Linked DNA regions of Rhinolophus ferrumequinum. The protein of the gene in region 2 purifies or fractionates together with the protein of the main gene of each other region. This does not show direct contact. Links are inferred from orthologs where the notes say so. Each region holds a gene or a part of one and is shown on either strand. Other genes may lie near its edges.

Region 1 (10,020 bases), on a different chromosome or scaffold from region 2:
CACAAATCTCTTTACAAGAAGGGTAACTACTACAACAAAGATGTACATGTTTCAAATTGTACATCAAGTTTGAAAGTAAGACAAATGTGATAAGGTTATTTTTTCTATCAAGAAGTATTTTAAATACCCAAAGTTTTCCAAATTTCAATAAAAGGGCATACTTTCACATAACATCTCTAAAATTCTAGGTACTTGAATTTAAAGGTCTTCTTTATTCAAAGTTTTTTGTCCAATAATAAAAAGTAAAAATACCTAACCTTTGAAATTTTAGGTTTTAAGTTTTTACAGGATAATTATGCGAAATTCATTTAGAATTTCATTCACCATACTCAAGGGAAATCAATTCCTAAAATTAAACTAAAAAAAAAAGTTTGGGTTATATTTATTTCCCACTTACGTCAAATTAAATTTAAAATTAAACTGCCAAGTTGAAGTTCCTGGAGGGTATTCTCCTTGCTCATTCATAAATGTCAGTCCTAGCTGAATTATCTTTAACAAGTCCACATTACACCGCAATAGTTGGTACTGATAGTCAGCATTGCTCCTGAATTCTCCAATAGGTCTTGCAACCACACCTGGAAACTCGGTGTCCTGTAAAATAGTTTTAAAACTCATTATTTATTAAAAACCACAAACCACAAAATCCTAGAATAATTAATTTTGGTAGTACAAGTCAAAGAATCCTGTTGTTATCTACATATTACAAAGTACCTTTTATTCCATTACAAAGTACCTTTAACTAGTAAGTGCATTACTTTTTGGAACCATAAAATAAAACTCTACAAACTTAATGAACTTTTCTTACTTTAAATATTACATCAGTAAAAATTACTATGTATAAGATACAAATGATAAATGCAATCAAGGACTCTATGCCCAAGAAAGAGGGAAAATAATAAATTCATGTTTCTCCAGGAGCATGTGAAACTATGCTATTCTAACGTTAAAAGCAACAAAGAACTAGTTTAAAAGAATGGAAAGGCGTCATACTTTCTAATGACTTTCTCAGGCAAAGTTTATCTGAACACCAAAACCCTCCTAATTTCTTGGACTTAAACAGCATTCTCTCTATACTCCAGAGAAAGCATGCTGTCAAAAACTGTATGCTGCCCACTCATTCCTGTAGAATGCTATCATGTCTCTAATGTTGTCACTCCTTATTATCTAAGAAATAACTGATCACTATCAACTTCTTTTGGATTAAAAAAAAAATTCAATTCTAACTATGAGTAAGTACAGATTTATTAAATAGAACATTATCTATGTACACTTAAATATTCGTATTTCAACCAATCAACCTTCCCCTTCCCACAGAGCATATTTATTTATATTAAAAATACTGGGAAAAGGATACATCAGGAAGCTAAGAACAAAATCTAAATACCAAGTTATCATAAAGAGTAAAAAAATGGAAACTTCTCTAAATTCAGTCCAACTCAACGACTTTATTGGATGCTAATATGTTATGCTAGATGTCAGAAGGACAAAGGATGATTAAGATACTAACCCTTTGCTTCACAAAGCTGATTATCTAGAAAATGGTAGAGTGGCTATAACAGATGTATGAGATACAGTAGTAAAGAAGCAAAATAATTAACTGAGTAGACAGTCCAGGCAGATTGAATAGTATATGCAAAAGCAGTGTGTTCATGAAACTCCACTGATAACTAAAATAAATTAAAAAACCAAACAAAAAACTGCAGATCAACAATGTTTCACTGGGAAGCTGATTTTTTTTTATTTGAGAAAGACATCCAAGAGTTCCCTAGCTTACAGGAGCTCATCTGGTACTATCAGTTAGGCCTTAGTGTTGCTAGGTGCTGACCTGGCACTCATAGCTAGGTCCTAATGTTCTTCTGTCCAATATAAACAATTTCACACTTCAACACCAGACAAGGCCACTCTATTACCATAACTAAAATAACAAAAACATAACTGTTGCTTCTTTATAGCTTTAGCTTCACTCTCATCTTCTCTCAATGTAGTTAAGACTTAAGATACCCTATCATATAATTACCCAGCTTTATGACACTATCCAATCCAGAGCAAAGTCTGGCTTCCTTCATCCCTCCCTAAAACCACCTGACACAAAAGTCCTTTTTAACACAGTCTTATTCAAATGCCCCCAGATCCTCCAAAGGTATGCGTTTTCCCTCACGCAGTGAGTAAATCAACCCAACTTGTCACATTACAGGTGTGATCCAGGTGGTCTTTGGTTGGAGGATACTGACAATTTTCATAATAAAATCCATGGGAAAAAAAAAATCAACCAGAAGGGCCGAATTCAAGACTTTAAAAATCCTTCTTCCCCTTTTATAAGAAGTATTTTAAGGATATTTGATCACAGGCATACCATAGCAACGTAATTGTATTTTCGGATAACTTGACGTATTTTCTTCATCTCTTCATCCAGGTTGCAAGCCCAAACTTCACAAATTCTTTGGCTATGATCTACAGTTGCTGCTGGCATAGTGAGGGCACAAGAAGTCTAGCTGCCAAGCATCAAAATATTATATTTGATTGAAGATTTGTTTCATAAAATACTTTATCCTTTATTTGTGTACCTGTCATAATAAAAACCAAAATAAAACCCAGCTGTATCAGAAAATGAAATTATGGAATAATTGAGTTGACAGAAACCTAAAAGATTATTTATTCAAAGTCTTTGATTCATAAGAAAATCAAAGTTTGGGAAGTGACCTTTCTAAAGTCACACATCTAATCAGTAGGAAAAAAAGGACCACAACACAAGTTTCCTGGTTCTAATACCAATGTTACGTAAAAATAGTATTTTTTATGTATACATACTAATCATTTCTTAAAACTTTCCAATAATTACAGACTGCTGTGACTTCAACTGACTCTCTGAATAAAACTTTGTAAAGACATCCATTTCCAGACAAAATATGAAAGGTGAAATACTGATATACATGTGAGACTATCAGATGCTACTAGGACAGAGATAATGTCTGCTTTTATTCCTCATTAACAAAACATTCAAAATCTGTTTTGATTACAAAATCTCCTTTACTGGCATTTATTCAAGCCAGATTGGAGGGGACAAAAGTAAACCAACAAAAAGCTGTAACAGATAGCCACAGAGACTGAATGTTCATAACTGCAGGAGAGAGAAAGGAGAAAATAGTGTGTCCATATTTCAAACTGTTTCTAATTTCCTAAAACTCAAGAGCATTTTCCCTGGTTACCAAACATAAATCTCAACTCTCTGGCCCATAAATACTGGTCGCATAGTATATGATGATAAGAGTACAGACCAACATTTTGATTCTTGAGCAAGGAAATTCTTCAAACAAGGAGTTTGAAAAAATTTTAACAAAGGTAAAAGAGGGAATTACACTACTCCCCCTTCTAAACGCTGCAGTAACAAATGTAACCGAGTGCTCTAAGAGCCAGGGGAGTTCCCTTTTATAACCCTGTCCACTACGCTAAACACACACACACACACATTGGAAAGAAACACACACACACACACACTTTGGAAAGACCCTATTGTTTAACATTGCTTTACTTCATCTCTCTCTACCACGGTTCCAGAAGCTCCGATGAGGCACCAGAAACCTTCTCATTACTGTAGGTAAAGTCTCCGTACTGCAGGCTCCCAAAGAAACGAGAGAGGACAGTATAGAAGCATTCAAGTCAGTTAACTCCCTTCCCTGGCACAGAGCCAGCGCGAAGGTGCTGATAAGGATTCATTGGGGCCAGACTGATTCCCAAGCACTGGTGCGCGAAGGAATACGTGGAGCTAGCTGTGCATGAAGGCCACCGCCCTCCACCCCCAATTTCCATCCCACAATATCGAAGCTCCAGGTACAAAGCCTTTACGTCATCACTCCGCGCCAACTCCTTGACATACCCCAGCCCCAGTTACCCTCCCCCGCCTCGGCCCGCCGTCCAACTCAGTCCTTCGCCAGCCAAGCTCCAGCTGGCGCCATCGCGCACCCTCTCAGGTTCATCGTCCCCACCCCCTTTTTACTTCCCCAAACCGCCCCTCCCCCCGCAGGTCTGCGGCAGACGCAAGATCTACTTGTGTCACTGAGCTCGCGCTCCTCCTCCTCCTCCTCGCCATAGAGACAGCACCCAGCGGCGGTGGCGGTGGCGGTAGCGGCGGCGGCGGCGGCGGCAGCGGATGCCCCATAGACACCGCTCGCCCGGCAAGGGGGAAAGGGGAGCCGGAGCTGCTCCGCACCGTGCTGCGCCGTCGCTTCTCGTAACGTCCTGGCGGGGGCGCTAGATGATGACGCGACACGCAGAGGGGGCGGGGCACGCAGGTGACGGAGGCTGGGGTGGTTAAAGCTCTGGGCTGTGAAGCTGCCTGACTGGCTGGTTTGGCGTCAGGGCCGCCAAGGTAGGGCTGCCTGTTCCGGGCGGCAAGTTTCCTCTCTCCAGTTACCTGTAGTCATAGCATACCCCCCAAAACCCGAGGACCCCCAGCCGGGCTTGCTTAGAGAAGACGCGGCCGCCCAGCACTGGAGCCCCGGCCTCCGGCGCCTTGGTCTTCTGTCGCTGGAGAACCACCGGGCTGAGTAGCTGGGAGAAGCAGGCCAGAACAGTCTAGGGCCTCGGGCCCGGGGACCCGTGGAGGATGAGCTGGCTCTTCCCGCTGACCAAGAGCGCCTCCTCCTCCGCAGCTGGCTCCCCCGGTGGCCTCACCAGCCTCCAACAGCAGAAGCAGCGCCTGATCGAGTCCCTCCGGAACTCACACTCCAGGTGACTGGTCGCTGCCTCTCGGACAGGAGGAAAAAGTAGGGCAGGAGGGCGGGCTGGTCCTAATCACACTCACAGTTTCTCAGGCCGACTCTCCAGCAGCTGCCTCATTTTGATCCACCTCCCTTCGTACTAGGTCTCACATTTGCTCTGCCATCTCAGACCTATGTTCAGGATTTTTCCTCTGGACCCTCCAGGTCCCTCCCTCTTGCTCCAACACTGCTCAGCTCTTCTAATTTTGACTTGTTCATTCCTCCTGACACATCGCTGCTGACTAATCTCTTTTATGGTTTACATCCAACATTCCTTTCCAGGTTCTTCCTCACTAATCTTTCCTTTCGCCTGCTGATTGCCGCTTTAGCCAAATTGTTAAAATAATCTATTTGGCTAAAAAGAATTGTGACGAATAATATCCACGTTTCACAAAGAGTGGAAAATTTTTGGGAAAAAAAAACTGCAACAGCAAAGGAGAGGGAAGCCAAAGTTTTTATCAGCGAGTTCTCTGGGAGAAACATACTCAATCCTCTTAAGTCTCTAATTTAAGATTCACGCTGTTCCAACAACGTCCTTGTATCTGGCAACTACCACTCTGTACATTCCTCACTGTTTCCACACTCAGGAGTTGTCTTATATTCATCCTGACTGCTCTGTTGTCTTTTATGAGTTTTTCATTTTCTTCGTGGTCAGATTAGAAATATTTTGCAATTCAAGTGATTTCAGTTGTTTTTATTGTAATCTGGTATGGCTGCCGCCTTTTATATTGCACATATCTGTGGCCTCTAATGGTTTTCAAAAATTAGAACTGCCTCTTTATATTATATGAATTATGCAAGTATATGTACTTAATAGTGTCATAACATGTATTTTAATGTAAAGATGTTAACGTCGCTCAACTATAACCCTTTTTAAAATAAACTATTCATACATTTTAAAAATATATATCCTGAGTTAATAAAATCGACTAAGTATTGAACTATTAGGAGCCATTTTATCTGTTACATTAATATTTTCCCAAGCAAGTAAGTTATAGTATAGAATAGTTTTAAATTAGATAGTTAAAAGAAAAATTCATTGCAAAATCAATTTCGCTAAAATAAGGCCTATTGCTGTCTAAACTTCGGCTGTTTCTTGGTTTTTTTAGCCTCAGTTGTTCTGCTTGTTCAGAACTTTCAAAAGATGAAAATTTGTGGTATTTAACAGGAAGGAGTGGTATACTCTTTGATCTAATGGTGGCTTTCTATTTGGAAAATTGAGTTCATAGAGTTCTTAGAAGTCTTCTAAACAGTGTTCCGCACTAACCTGTAAGAGCTACTCTCACAAGAGATGCTTCATTTTTAACAAACATAACAAAAGTTTGTCCTCTTAAAAAGTGTCACCTTAGAAGACTATCTACTAAACTAATACTACTATTGCCAAAATACTTCTTAGAACCACACCTTTGGAATTAATTGTTTTTAAGCCTTTAGTATATTGTGTTAAATATTGTCACTGCTGGCAAATTTTTGTTCTTTGAGGTTGGAGTGGAATTTTTGAAATATTTCAAGTCCTTTGCTGCTAAGGCTGGTAAATAGGAGAAGTGATCAATTTGGAATGTATTATGTATTTTTTTTTGACTTCCCAAATAAGATTCTAAAACAGGAATTGCTAATCTAAGGAGTTCTGGAATTGGTAAGAGCATCAGCTCTTGAGTCAAATGCAGAAAGGATCATTTGCAGAAAGGAACTGCTCTTGAGTCAAATGCAGAAAGGATCACTTTTATTTCTTGAGCCAGAAATTTTGGACATATAATTGATCATGTGACATTATCTACATATTTTGTAATGTTATAAACATCTAATTTTAAGGACTCTTTCTTCCTTTAAGTTCTTTTATGAAAATAGTTGAACTTTTATTTTATTGAAATGTTACACATTTATAAACTAAACTTGGAATTCTGGAGATAATTAAGTAAGTAGGTCATATACCTCCAGTTTTCAGGGAATGGTACTATTCCAGAAAAAATGATATCCACCTATTTTGTTAAATCTGCCCTTTTAACTCATGACATACATTTTAAAGCTAGCTGGTAAAAATAATCTGTGCAGTATACAATTTATATTTAAAGAATTTTGTATAGAAGGACACTGTGTGCTTATTCTGAAGGTACACTCTAAAAGTTGAAAGAATGTTTTGAATGGTATTTTATTTTCATGAATATTACAAAAACTTTCTAAATTATGAATATCAATATCCTGTTTATGCAGCCCACCTCCCTCAGTTATCATATCTATCCCTGCTCCAAAGGTAAGGTCAACAGCTCTTTTCTGCCAGTGAAAGTATCTCATTTTTTTTTTGCCTGCCCTCAAGAACCTTTTCCCACCCCATTCTCTCTCATCTATTTTCCAAGTCTTATCTTTCAATTCCTTATAATGAAAAAAATTCCACTTTGGGAAAGAGCTTGTTTAATTCCCTTTCTCTACTAAATGTAAACTCCTTTTTTTGTTACCTTAAAAAATTTTTCCTCATCTCCCTCAGGACTCTTCTAAAGGTTAGCTAAATTTTATGTGTATTTCCTCATCTAAGTCTTACTGGAGAGGCAGGGCAAATAGGAAACTGTCATATGACCAAAAAAAAAAAAAAAAAAAAAGTGTTTAACCAAAGCACGTTTGCTGTAAAATGGAAATTGAAAGTTATATAGATTAGGCTCTAGTAATATATTCTGCTTTCTGAATAACAGTCATCATACTATGTAATTTACCACCTAAAACTCCTGACTTTCTGGGCAGGAGTAGAACTTAATTCTGTTTCTACTACTTCCTAAAGAAGCTCACTCGAAGGGAGCTTCCCATTCATATCCATTTCCCCTGACTTCTTGAAGAACACTTGTTTTTATCTGGGTTCTGGGCCTGCAAGACCACATACTTATTCAATGGAGGCTATGCTCTTTCAACCGCAGAAGGTAAATGATTGTTTATGCCAGTGATGGTGGTTTCATGCCCTGTGTGTGTTACTTTGAAAGCAGGACTCTTAACCTTGGTCAGTGGGAGTTGAAGGAGAAGTCGAAGTCTGCTGCGGAGCTGCTCAATATGTTTTCTCAATAATACAGATGTCTAAAAGATGTTTCTCTTATGTTTTGGATATTGTTGTCATGTTGGGACATCTGGAACTGCTTGGATCAGGAAGGAATACAAGCTGACTGTATTGACTGTGGAAGAGTAGAAAGATGGAATGCCTGTGCTAATATTGTGATGCTGAATTAACCAATTCTGGGACCTTCCTGTCTCTGGGCTTCTTGCAGTGTAAGCTTAATAAACCATCGCTCGCTTCGGCAGCACATGTAATAAACCGTCACTTTTTTATTAGGTTGGTGCAAAAGTAATTGCGGTTTTTGCAATTAACCTTTTAAACTGCAATTACTTTTGCACCAACCTAATAGCTATTTTCAACCTGGAAATATCCCAGGTGACACTAATCCCAATATTTAAAGATTCTTCAGAAGTGAAGCTGTTAAGTATTTCCCTGCATTGCCCCTGCAATCAAGAAATATCAAAAACTAATAGTCTTTAACAGTTACCATCCTAACTGTCCTGGTTTCTTCTCTCACAATATCTAAAGTTAATTAGCTTATTTTTATTACTATTTTATTTCCTTAGTTGGAAAACCACAACCTGGAGCTATGTTGTAAATGGTACTTATTATCTGTAATTAACTATGTAAATTCAAAGTTATACAAATAATCCTTTATTACCTTTTACTTAGGGAGATTAGCTCTCTCAAGTAAAGGATTTCTGCATTCATTTTAATAATCAAGTACATGGTAATTCTGGTGCTAATTTTATTTTATATTCAATAAGAAAATCTAATTTGTGAGTTAAAGTTTATCAGAATTGCTTTTGTTTATTTACTCTGGTATAACTAATAGTCTTAATGAAAGAAGCCCTGAACCAGAAGTCAGGCGATGCTGACGTATATCATTAACTAGCAGTGAACCTTGGATGTTCACATAACCTTAGGTCTGCTGAGATGGGAAGATTGACTACCTGAATTCTTAATGCCCTGCCCGGCTGTGAAAGTCCGTAGGTTCCTCAGGTTCCTTGATAAAAGACAAAATGAATTTGAGCAACATAAGTAGAAGTAAGCAAAAATACTGACGTTGGGAAAAGCAGCCTGACTTAAGTGAATGAAAGCTTTGTAATTAGACTGTCATGGATTTCAATTCTGGCTCTAATAAATAGTACTATAATAGCAACATGACCTCTTAGTAAGTTACAAAGCTTCTCTGAGCCTTCCAGTTCCCATCTGTAAAATCAGGAATTGTGATTCCTATTGTGTAGAATTGTTGATATTTAAGTAATACATGAAGATAAATAATTTATTAGCGTATCTGGCACATAGAAAGCATATTACAAAATACATTCCTTTTTCCACTGCGTAGAGTCTGTGTGCCTGGAGCCTTTGTTTTTTAGCGCTAACTTACTGTTTGCAAATCTCTCACAAGCCTGTTTACACCTCCTTTGTCTCTGGCAGGACTACTTCTAACTTTCCATTCAGAAAGCAAGTCCATTCCGAAGAGTTAGTTTATTCACAAATGAAATGTGCCTATTTTGAAGGATTTTAGGGATGATACATATAAAGAAACTAGAATATTATCTGGCACACAGTAGGTACTCTGTAAATGACAGTTATTTTGTATCTTAAAAATAATAGTGCCAATCTCCATAGTCTTTTATTTTGAGATTTTTCTTTTGTTGCCAGTCCCTGGATACCGTTGTTCTTTCTGATTACGCAAACCTTTAGCCTTATAACTTCCTTGGAGAGTTATATTATATAAGACCGGGTCTTATATTAATTTTTGCTCCAAAAGACGCGTTAGAGCTGATGGTCCAGCCAGGTCTTATTTTCGGGGAAACACAGTAGTAGCTTCCTTAGGCACTGCTACCTCAGAGGTACCTCACTGTGTTTGTTGTTCCAGGTGCAGATAGTACTGCTGGTTCCTGGTTTGAACAGGCAGGGAAAAGAGGACAGTGCTTTAGTCTATGTGCTGTTACCCATGTCTCCCCATTTATTACCCTGAGAAATGCTCCTGCTCTGCCCCCACACTAGGTTTGCATCTACTTGGTTCAAGGGCTTGGAGGGCCTTCAAACTGCTCCTCCTATGCATTGGTCTTACATTCTGGATTGTCATAGTTCATTTATTTACTATCTTTTTCTTTCCTTTTTCCTTAAATCTAATGCCATCATTTTTATCTTTCAGGGATTCCTCAGAATTTCTTGTCTACTTACGGTACTATTTGCCTTCTTGCACAGCTCTAGATT
Region 2 (10,317 bases):
TTACCATGTGCAAATGCTATTTAGATCTTAGAGATTTTGAGCTAAAATGAATTAAAAGTTAAATTACTACTATATATGCTCAGTAATGAGTGTACTGACATCAGCGCTAAAATGCTTGACAAACATCAAAAGAATATTACTCAGACATACATTTGTAAATAATTTCAAAGAAAAATACAAATGAACCTTAAAACATTTATTCCTCTAAGACAGAATGCAATTTCAGTCAGCTTCACTGTGCATGTAAGGTAGACTCAAAATCTGTACTAGAATTCTTTTCCTGAACCAATCAGGAAAACACTGTGAACTGGTAAGAAGTGTCTAATATCACATAAGTAAACAGGCACAAGTCTGACCAATATGGATATAAACAAAGACACTAAAGCTGTCTTAGAGATTCAGGGCAACATTAATTCAGATTAGTAAACTCCACACTGGAAAATGTATAGAATTTACCTTAAGAAACTTTGGTGTGAGAAAAATTCCTTTGTATAAATGCCTGACAAAATTAATATTATGTCATAACCTCTGGGGCTAGTCCAAATCCAGCCTGGACTCCAGAATTAAACAAAAGAGAGGAGATCTTAAAGAGGACCCTACAGAACAGGCTGATTTCAAAATCTACTGTGACTATTTTGATGCAGGCCAGTCTGAGAATTTAAATCCACTGGAATCCAACCCCAAGGAATACTTGAACTACCGGAGTACTGACAGGGCTGAAGTTAAACCAGGTCAGTACACCCTGCCAAGGAACATGTTGCTCCAAGGTGTCCACCAAACAAGGATCATTTATCAGCTTATTCTTCATCTTATTGGATGCCAACCACTTTCAAGATATATGCACGAGTAGCCTGATTAGATCCTATCAAGCTCCATTTCAAGCCCTAAGATCTAGAGATTAAAAACACGCTGCCGAATTCTAAATGGTTTATGACTTTAAAAAATGTAACTGAAGAATTTCAAATGCTAGCTGACCCAACTTTAATATCACTGAATGTTACTAAAGTCATTTTTAAATTTTCATAAAGTATTTCAAAGGCACAACTTAGTAGCTGCTTACATAATTAAAGCCATGAAACATAGTAATACTACAAATCTGTCGTATATAAACGGTATGAGTTTCTATATTCATAGTATTTAGATCTGCTAAAAGCAAAAATAAGTATTTCTGTCATAATTCACACAAATAAATACTTTCTCAAACTTGTAAGTGAATATTTGGCAGGGTACAAATAACAATACTAGAACGGATATTAGGGCTAAAGACAAATACAGGATTACAAGACATAGTTCATGGTCAAAACTAGGAATCTGTCAATACGTTAGATGCTTCAAAGTTTAACCTTGAAACATATGGTAGCAGTAATGAAGCATCTAATCTGTCACAGGACCTGGGTTTGAGTAAGCTCTTTTACCTATTAATTACTGTGTGGCCTTTTTGCTATTTACTTAGCTTCTCCTAGCCTCACAGTCTTCATATACAGAAGGAGAACGATATCGCCAACATTATAGCCTAACTAGGAGAATTAAATGGGAACGTTTTACTCATTCAACGAATATACTTTGAAACACTAATATTTTTATGGCCAAAAAAAACCACAAAAACCAACAACTGTCAAATCTTTTGAAATGAATCAAACATTTATTAACTTTCAATATTACCAAGTAAATGCAAATCTGATTCCTAAGCTATGGTACCTAAACTTCTTACAAGGAAATTCTTCAACACCACTTGAGAAAATCTGAACTGAAATAATCAGAATAAACGCTGATAATGATGATATGACAATTGAGGGATCACATTTTAAAACAGTTTGACACAAAAACAGAATTCTCTAAGAACTTTTTCAATGTTAAACAGATATAGGGACCCAGACTCGACCCATAAATTGTTGCGTCAACATCTACTTTCAAACACAAAATCTAACACTTAAAGCTTTGTTTTTAGAAAAATGGTATTAGGCATGAGGCAAATGATAATTTAGGATTATAATATAATACAACAAGAGATTTTTTTTCCATAACAAAGCACGCTAATAACTTACAATTTACAAATTCATAAGTTACTACATTTGTTGCAATGTTAGGGTCACAGATAAATTTAAGAATCGTTGCAATATAGACTTTACTTGCATGCTGTATCGATCTAACAAAACTTGGCATTTAAAAAAATCATGGATTTGAGCACTTAGAGAAAGGTGTCCTTTGTGAAACTTATGCCCAGAAAATTCACATAAGCAAGAGCCATGTGAAAGTTGTTCTTTCTTTCACTTAATCAAAACATCCACACATCTATGCATAAAAGGAAAGCCATTCGTATTTATCCACTATACTTTACTCCTAAACAATGAGATAGTTCAACCTCCATGTTTATTCAATTGCTAGTCTATTTACTGTCAACTCTTGTGGAAGACCTAAGGACTCATTAAACCTCATATACTGTAACCTGAAAATGCTTTGAATTACGACAGACAGGCAATTCTAATGAGAAATTTACCCTAAACACAGGTGAACGATATTAACTGGCATCTTCTCAGCACAGGTCAATCTTCCTTTTTAAGAACACAAACTAGATGGACTATGCAATTGAATGTTAAATAGTGGAGCAATCTTCTTGGATGCATCCAAAGAACATTAATATAAATTTCTGCACACCTAGGTAGAAACTGGAATAGAAGAAACTTAAATGATTTTTCCCCCATCATTTGTCGTGGTAGGTGCCTTTGAAAAATTAAGTTAAGGAGAAATAGTAATTGTAGAAGTTTCAGATACCACTACAGTAGGGCAAATATAATGAACAGCTGTCTCTTGATAAGTTTAAACATTCAAAACAACAACAGTTGTTTCTAGTTTTTGAAAATTGTAATATAATCAAGTTTTGAAACCTTATCAAATCTGCTTCAGAAACCCAATTTCAAACTTAGAGGACAGGGCTGGTCTTGCACAATTTTAGGGCAAATTACTGAACGACAAAATTAGAACATGAGACAGGACACAAGAAGTTCTAGCCTGCAGATGAACCGCATCTGTCTCCTGAAGAAATGCTCCACGAGGTCCGTTTCGAGCTGTTGTTGTGTCTTATGCGGCACATTAATAATTCAAAAACGGTTCCTTTGGAGAAAAGTTCTATTCAAACATTACAATTTGTCTTTGCGTTGCCAGTAAAAGGCTTTGTTTTCAGTTTCATGGACTATTCTGGGATGTCAAGAGTTATGATGACTGCTCCAAAAGCGTCCTTGTTCCACTCTCACCCGGGACGTGGGCATAAGTGATGTTCAGAGAGAACTGATGCCCAGGGAGGTGTTTAAAGAGGAACGTCCCGTAGATAGACGTCCATCCCTCTCCATCCTCCATCGCTAATCACCTTTTACCTTGCATTTGTTGTTGCTGCACTTACATATTTTTTTAAAAAAGACACCTGCATACACAATTTGCCTATCGCCGCCGGGAAGAAAGACTATATCGGTCCATCTCCAGGGAAATAGACGTCGTAAAACCCATTCCTCCGGGGAAAGGGAGCGCCTAAGGGGTTGGGGAAATGAACTGCCCTGAGGGGGAGGGAGGCAGAGGCGGCGCCTGTTTACAGACGCCTTCACCTCCCCCACCCCACAAGCTGAGGGTCCAAAAGCGTTTCCGGGGCGCAGTGGCCTCCCGGCCTGGGCCCCCGGAGTCACAGAGGACCTGGGCAGCCTGCCGGCCCCAAGCCTCGGGCCGAAGCCGCGCTCGCCCTCCCCTCGTCCCGGGCGGCGTCCGCACCTCCCCACGGCCGGCCTCCCCACCCGGGCAGGCCCTCCAGGCGGCACGCGGAGGCCTGAGGCCTGAAGGCCGCCGGCCACTGACAAGCCCCTCGGCCGCCGGCGGGGCCTGAGGCCCGGCGGGCGGGCGGACGCGGCCGCCGAGGAGCGGAGGGCGGGCGAGGACAGCCCCTTCCCCGCCGCGGCTGCCTATTGTTCCCGACCGAGGCCGGGCCGCGCCGCCCCGCTCCCCACGCCGCCGCCGCCGCCGCCGCTCGCTCACCGCGCTGGTCCGAGCAGCAGCTCCTCTCAGCTCCGAGTCCCCGCGGCCGTCGCCACCGCCGCGGCAGCCGCCGCCGCCGCCGCTACCACCGTCGACTCTGACTCTGTCCCAGGCCGCCGGGCCACGGCCACGGCCGTCACTGCCAGCGCCGCCTCCGGCCTCCCACCTGCTGCTGCTGAGGCTGCTCCGGCAGCAGGGGCCATCTTGTTGGTCGGCCTCCCCTTCCTCCTCCTCCTCCTCCTCCTTCGCCACCCGGTCGCTCGTTGTCCTCGTCCCCTTCCTCTTCCTCGGGCTCCGGCCCGCCCCGGAGACTGGGGCGGAGATCAGGGCGAGGCCCCTCCTTCCGGGGGCGGGGCGAGCGGAGGGGCGGGGCGGGGCGGGGCGGGCTAAGGAGGAAAGCTCTGAGTCACCGGCCCCCGACGCCGGGAGCGAGGCTGGCGACGCTCACCGCCGGGACCCGAGCGCACCCACGCCCTGAGCCGAAGAACTGGTCCATCCGTCTGCCTGGCCCAGCCCCCACCAACGCCTCTGCGCCCAGCGGGCAGGTGGCCAGACGGTGAAGGTGAATTGCAAAATTTCTGGCGTTTCCATCCAATCCCGCACTACCTCCATCTACCAACCCCCTTGACTTTCTCAGTCTTGTCCCTCCACTCTTGTTTCTTTTCCATATCTCCCCTCACACCCCCCAGAAGAATTTGTTCTTAACTCTTTGTATCCAGGTTCTCCATCACACCAGCTTTGCCCAAGTCACCCCTCTCACAGAGTCCCGAACGAGTCCAGCCTCCCAACTGGGTGAAACAGCCCGAAGGCCAGTACGCTCACTGCCCCCAAACGTCTCTCCAGGCCTGTGGGCACCGTGAGAGCCCTCTGGGGGGAGGACAGGAGAACTTGGCCCCTACAAGAGCTCCTGCATCTAAGCGCTAACCTCGTAATTACTGCAAGTTTCTTCTTCAAGGAGAAGAAGCCATTTTGATATGGGGTAATGGGAGACCCCTGCAAGACAACGCGGTGTAGCCAAACCCTTGCTTTTAAGAAGGGAGAGAAATGGAATTCTTTTCATACCATGCAGTCCTAATTTCAAAATGAATCGTCTGGAATAGAGGAGGGAGATTGTCCTCAAATAATCACCCAGTTAATAGTCCTCTCTGCATTGTCCCTTTTTTTGCCTCAGGTCTTGACCAAGAGCAGAGATTTTTGCTTTCTTGTCCTTTGTTCACTGCATACATCACTACCAAGGAGAGTAATGGACTATATTTAGAGACGCTTCTGCCTTTATCGTGATAAATCTAATCACTATGACAGATAGTGTTTTTATTATTTGTAAATAACATATCACACACCTTCCTAAACTCTGAGCGGGGAAGAGTTTTTTTTAGCTGCTAACACCCTCCTGTACTCCAGAGTTCAGCTTCTTTCTAGAAGACCTATTGATGTCTTCCTATTGATTGGAAATTACTGCCTTCGAAGTGGGACTACATCAGTAACCTCTTCAACCTACTACTTAGTAACCCCAGTCCTACAAAGAGTAAATTTCTAGCTGTCACAAAGGGATTGGGCTAGCGAGTGCTAACCTAAGGGCCATCTCCCTCAAACAGCCAAGCCTCAATCCCCTGCTAGGAGAAACAAATTAATCTGTTCCTGCTTTTCCTCCCCCTCCCTTCTCACTCCTAGGGAACCTTCCACAACAGAAGGTTTTAGCGGCTGTTGCTAGGCAAACATGCCAACCTCCCTTGTTTAGGTGAAGCTAGTAACCCAACTTCCATTACAACCTAGCAACCTAGATAATATAATTTCTTTGAACTATTAATAGTTGTACGTCAGTTGGTAAAGCCCCTTCAAGTTTCCCTTTAAAAAATACGACTTTTAGGTTATATTAATTTCATCAATATTTCAGTTAAACATAAGTTGAAAATGGAAGGGCTTCCCAAAATTCATTTTAACAATATAATTAAACAGAAACATTTAGCAGAAGAGCAGCTTTGAAGAAAACACTGAAGTGTTTACAATAAAAACTAATGAAAGAGAAGCCGTTTATATTCTTTAAGCTACCCAGTTAGTCTAAATGTATAGAAAGATACAGAGAATAATTTATCTCCTGAGACTGAGTCTATTTAGAAGAAAAATGCTATGGTTATTCAGTGAGGGAAAAAAAAGATATTTTGGATTTTATTCCCAAATTAATTCTGTAAGAATTTTAGCTAGTGAATCAAGCTTTTTTTTTCCTGATTTTGCTGTTTTTAAGTTATTGCTATGTTATGTAATGGTAACATTTTTCAGGGTGTCGCGAATTTATATAAATAAGATTAAATAAGACATGTTGACTTTTATATTACATATATTTAAACTTCTAAACTTAAAATTATATAATTGTTGAATCCAGTGAAATTTGTATTAATATAGTGAAATAGTGTTTGAGAATTACCTTGAGCCAAGGTAACACATTAAGAATGAATTACTAAAGACAAACAGCTTAAGTGTTTTATATTCATTATACTTAGAAATCATTATTTTGTAGCTTTAACACAATTTAAACAAGTTAGTTTTATTTTCTATTTTATTTAGTTCTTATATGGAATGCCTAGAAATTTAGACCCTGTCTCGTCCTCCACCATTGATATGCTATGAAAATTAAATGAATCATTTCATGTGAAGGACTTAGAACAGAGCGTGGCACATAGTAAGTACTCAAATTTTTTTTAAAACCATTTTATGTTTGTGTCATTAGAGTCTTTAGTTTCTTGATCAAATAAGGATGACAAGTCATGAAATATGTTTTTGCTCTTGGCATGAGCTCTAAAATAAGTAATGCTACTTTTTAGATCACACACAAATTAGAATAATGCCTGATGAATTTTTTCAATGCCTGTACTATATTGTTCTTATTTATTTGTTTTTTGAGAATAACCTCTGCTTTTTAGGTTATACTGAATGATTTTTTAAGATACTACATACTTACAAATCGCTCTGGAATGTGTAATTGTACACCTACAGCATTGTTTGTCATATTAAAGCTAGAAAAGACCTTAGATACTAACCCACTTATTTCAACAAATGAGATAGAGACTAAGAAAGGATAGCTAGGCCACCTATCTACCCAACTCCTTATTTATAAACACTCTTATTGAGGAGGGGGTTAGAGAGCTGTAAGGGCTGGGATGGGAGGAGAAAATACACATGTGAATGAGTCATGTGTCCGTGCCTTAAAAAAAATTAACGCCATAGTGGGAATACAATAAGACATGCATGTTAACTACTAGAGTATAAAGTAGCTTGGTGATATTGCATACAAACTACCAAGTGCTATGAAAGTTAAAAGGAAGAAATAGTATGAATCTTAATTCTAATGTCACAGAACCTACCTTTTCACCAGTGACAATACTATGTATGATATTAGATATGTACCCAGAGGCATAGAAGTACAGTCAGCTCTCAATTCAGGGCAGGTAGGGATGAGGAAGAACAAGGAATAGGGAATTGGAGGTGTGGCAATAGAGTTTGGATTGACTAAAAAACCTGGTTAAAGTACAGGTGGGACCTGAGAACTCTTCAGTGTAAATCATTTATATAGGGGTAGTGGGGAATGACATTCTCAAACACAAACACGCACAAAATGGGAGTACTGGAGTGGGGTCATTTGAATTTTCTGAGCTGCTTTAGGTTCAATAAGGATGGGAGGCCAATTGAGTCCTCTCCATCATTCCCTCCTTCCTCTTCCCCTCTACGTAGATTCTCCATAGCCTACTCCCACCCCCTGACCTCACTCCTATTACCAGTGTCCATTAAGATAAATCTCTAGAAAAGAAATAAGAAATACAGATAGATGTCTCGAGCCATTACACTAAGGAAATAGGAGGAAACTAATAGTTTCTGACCTACCCTTCACCTTTAGAGTCCAGTCCCAAGTAGACACAAGTCAACATTTGCGGATTAGGCCTAAGGGGTTACCTTAGACTCAGGGTAACAATCCAAAGTAATCATGGCAGATGTAGGCCAAGTCAATTCTGGGAATTCTGCAGCTGGATCCCTATAGACTTGATTGCCAAATAGGTAAATAAAACCATGTTTCTGACTCTTACCTGCAATTACTTCTGAGCGGACTTACCTCCCGTGAAAGCCTCCCAACATTGAGCATATCTGAAGCTCAGTTGACCTCCTAAGACTTATCCCAGGGTGATAGTAAACAGCACCCTTTTATTAAAGAGACATCAAACAACTTTCTGCAAAGAGGCTCCTTGTAGGCGCTACTTTAAACAGTGTGATAAAAGAAAGTAGCTGCCTTTTCACTGGGCAAAACTCAGTGGAATATTGTTGGTTTTCGATATTGTTGGTGTTAGTTTGCTAGGGCTGCCATAAGAAATACCACGGACTGGATGGCTTAAACCACAGAAATTTTCTCACAATTCCACGAAGGCTAGAAGTCTAAGAATAAGATATAGGCAGGTGAGGTTTCTTCCAAAGCCTCTCTCCTTGGCTTGTGGAGACTATCTTCTCCCTCCGTCTTCGCTCTGTGTCTGTATGTGTCCTAATTGCCTCTTACAAGAACACCAGGCGTATTGGGTTAGGACCTACCCATATGACCTCATTTTGCCTTAATTACTTCTTTAACAATCTTATCTCCAAATACAGTCACATTCTGAGGTACTGGAGGTTAAGCCTGTGACATGATTTGGTGGGGGAGAGGAGTGGACAGAATTCAGCCCATAATAACAACAAATGCTCACTTTAAGAATACCATACTTATGAATAAAACGCACCCTTGTTGAAGGAACAGTTTTAAATCTACCCAGTTAAATCTGAAGCACTTCTTTTTCTGATTACTTTTTGCATCATGAAGTATCAATGCTTGGGAGGTATACATTAGCAACAACCAATAGGATACTAGAATAAAAAAACTGATTACCAAAATTATCTGAGTCACACCACAAGAGGCTAGAAAACACGTACCAGAATGTGAATAGACTCATGATTAGTATGAAAGGAGTCATATTTATATAGCTAATGATTTAAACCTCATTTAGAGTTCCATCTTGTGTAAATAAGCAATTATAGATATATTACGGTCAAATGTATTTTATAAGCAAATGATATCCTGTAGCACAAATGTATGTTCACTATCTCTTAGGCAACATTAGGTTTATCATGTCATGAGTAGCCAGTTAAGAAAAAGTTGGACATTTCATGTGTAAATCATTCAGGAAACCAGAATTTGAAAGTGTGCTTTAAGCAAGATGGAATCGAACCTTTTTTTTCCTCCATGCCTAACTTTGTAGGATCTGGACTTTTAGAGTTCTTTACGATGTTTCAAGAGGTTAGAGATTCAAGATGAGCTCTGTTAGTTGGAGGCAGGTCACGAACCAGATAGATGTCCCTATGGTAGACTCCTCACTGAAGATGAATATTCAGCTTCATGTTACTCCATGAGTTTATTTCACTCTTATCCTCTACATTTCAATAAAGTCTGATTGTAATGTCCCAGTCTTTTCTCAGCTGTGCCACCTTCTAAAAACAGGCGAGTTCTGCAGCCATACTTAGGCCAGTCGTTCTCATGCAGGCCAATGTACATCCGTAATGGAAATACCTGCAGCTCCTCCAGAGGAGAAGCAAATCTCAGGGAATAAGAGTCAGAGTCTTTCTCTACCTGGATATTTGTCTTCTGTTGTCAGTGTTGGACAGGTAGAAAGACTTATTACCACCCAAACTCCACCACTTATTAACTGTGTGAGTTTCTCCAAGTTAAGCTTAGAAAGCTTCAATTTCCTTTACTATAAACGAAGGGATTGTAAAATGTACCTGAGATGGTTTTTATGGAGATTAAAATGAGAAAATACATGTAGAGTATCAAGTACAATGCCTGATGTCTATCACTCAATGAATGAGAGTTATTGAAATTATACTAGGTACTGAGTGTTGCATTAGACCAGTGATTTTCAGTTTTGCTGTGAATTTTTAAAAACTATATATCTTCTGCTCTGACCCTAGAGATTTTGATATAAGGTGTTGGTGTGGGGCCAGGGATTTTTTTTTACCTTTTGGGGATTTTACATGTTATCCCATCCTACGATCTGAGGTAAGAACCACTGATATAGATCAATGGTCAGTAAGCTTTTTTGTAAGTGGCCAGACTTGTATTTTAGGCTTTGTGGGCCATACGGTCTCTGTCAACTACTCAACTCTGCCATGGTAGCAGGAAAGCAGCCACAGACAATATGTAAACATATGAGCATGACTGTATTTCAATAAAACTTTATTTGCAAAAAGAGATGGTGGACTGGATTTGACTCCCAGACTGTTGTTTGTCAA

The links. Proteins that work in one complex are often made in the same cells at the same time.
Region 1: the proteins of RC3H1 (region 2) and CNOT7 purify together in Homo sapiens (affinity purification with mass spectrometry; 5 studies listed by BioGRID, with this or other methods). This does not show direct contact. The link is inferred for Rhinolophus ferrumequinum from reciprocal best matches to the Homo sapiens genes RC3H1 and CNOT7.

The regions. Positions count from the first base shown.
Region 1 is NC_046287.1:72,511,816-72,521,835, forward strand, and holds the start of CNOT7 (CCR4-NOT transcription complex subunit 7), read right to left. Parts: upstream 4,276-10,020; 5' UTR 4,046-4,275; intron 2,565-4,045; 5' UTR 2,471-2,564; coding exon 2,354-2,470; intron 592-2,353; coding exon 398-591; intron 1-397. UniProt on the Homo sapiens protein: Has 3'-5' poly(A) exoribonuclease activity for synthetic poly(A) RNA substrate. Its function seems to be partially redundant with that of CNOT8.
Region 2 is NC_046305.1:8,832,079-8,842,395, forward strand, and holds the start of RC3H1 (roquin-1), read right to left. Parts: upstream 4,258-10,317; 5' UTR 4,018-4,257; intron 1-4,017. UniProt on the Homo sapiens protein: Post-transcriptional repressor of mRNAs containing a conserved stem loop motif, called constitutive decay element (CDE), which is often located in the 3'-UTR, as in HMGXB3, ICOS, IER3, NFKBID, NFKBIZ, PPP1R10, TNF, TNFRSF4 and in many more mRNAs.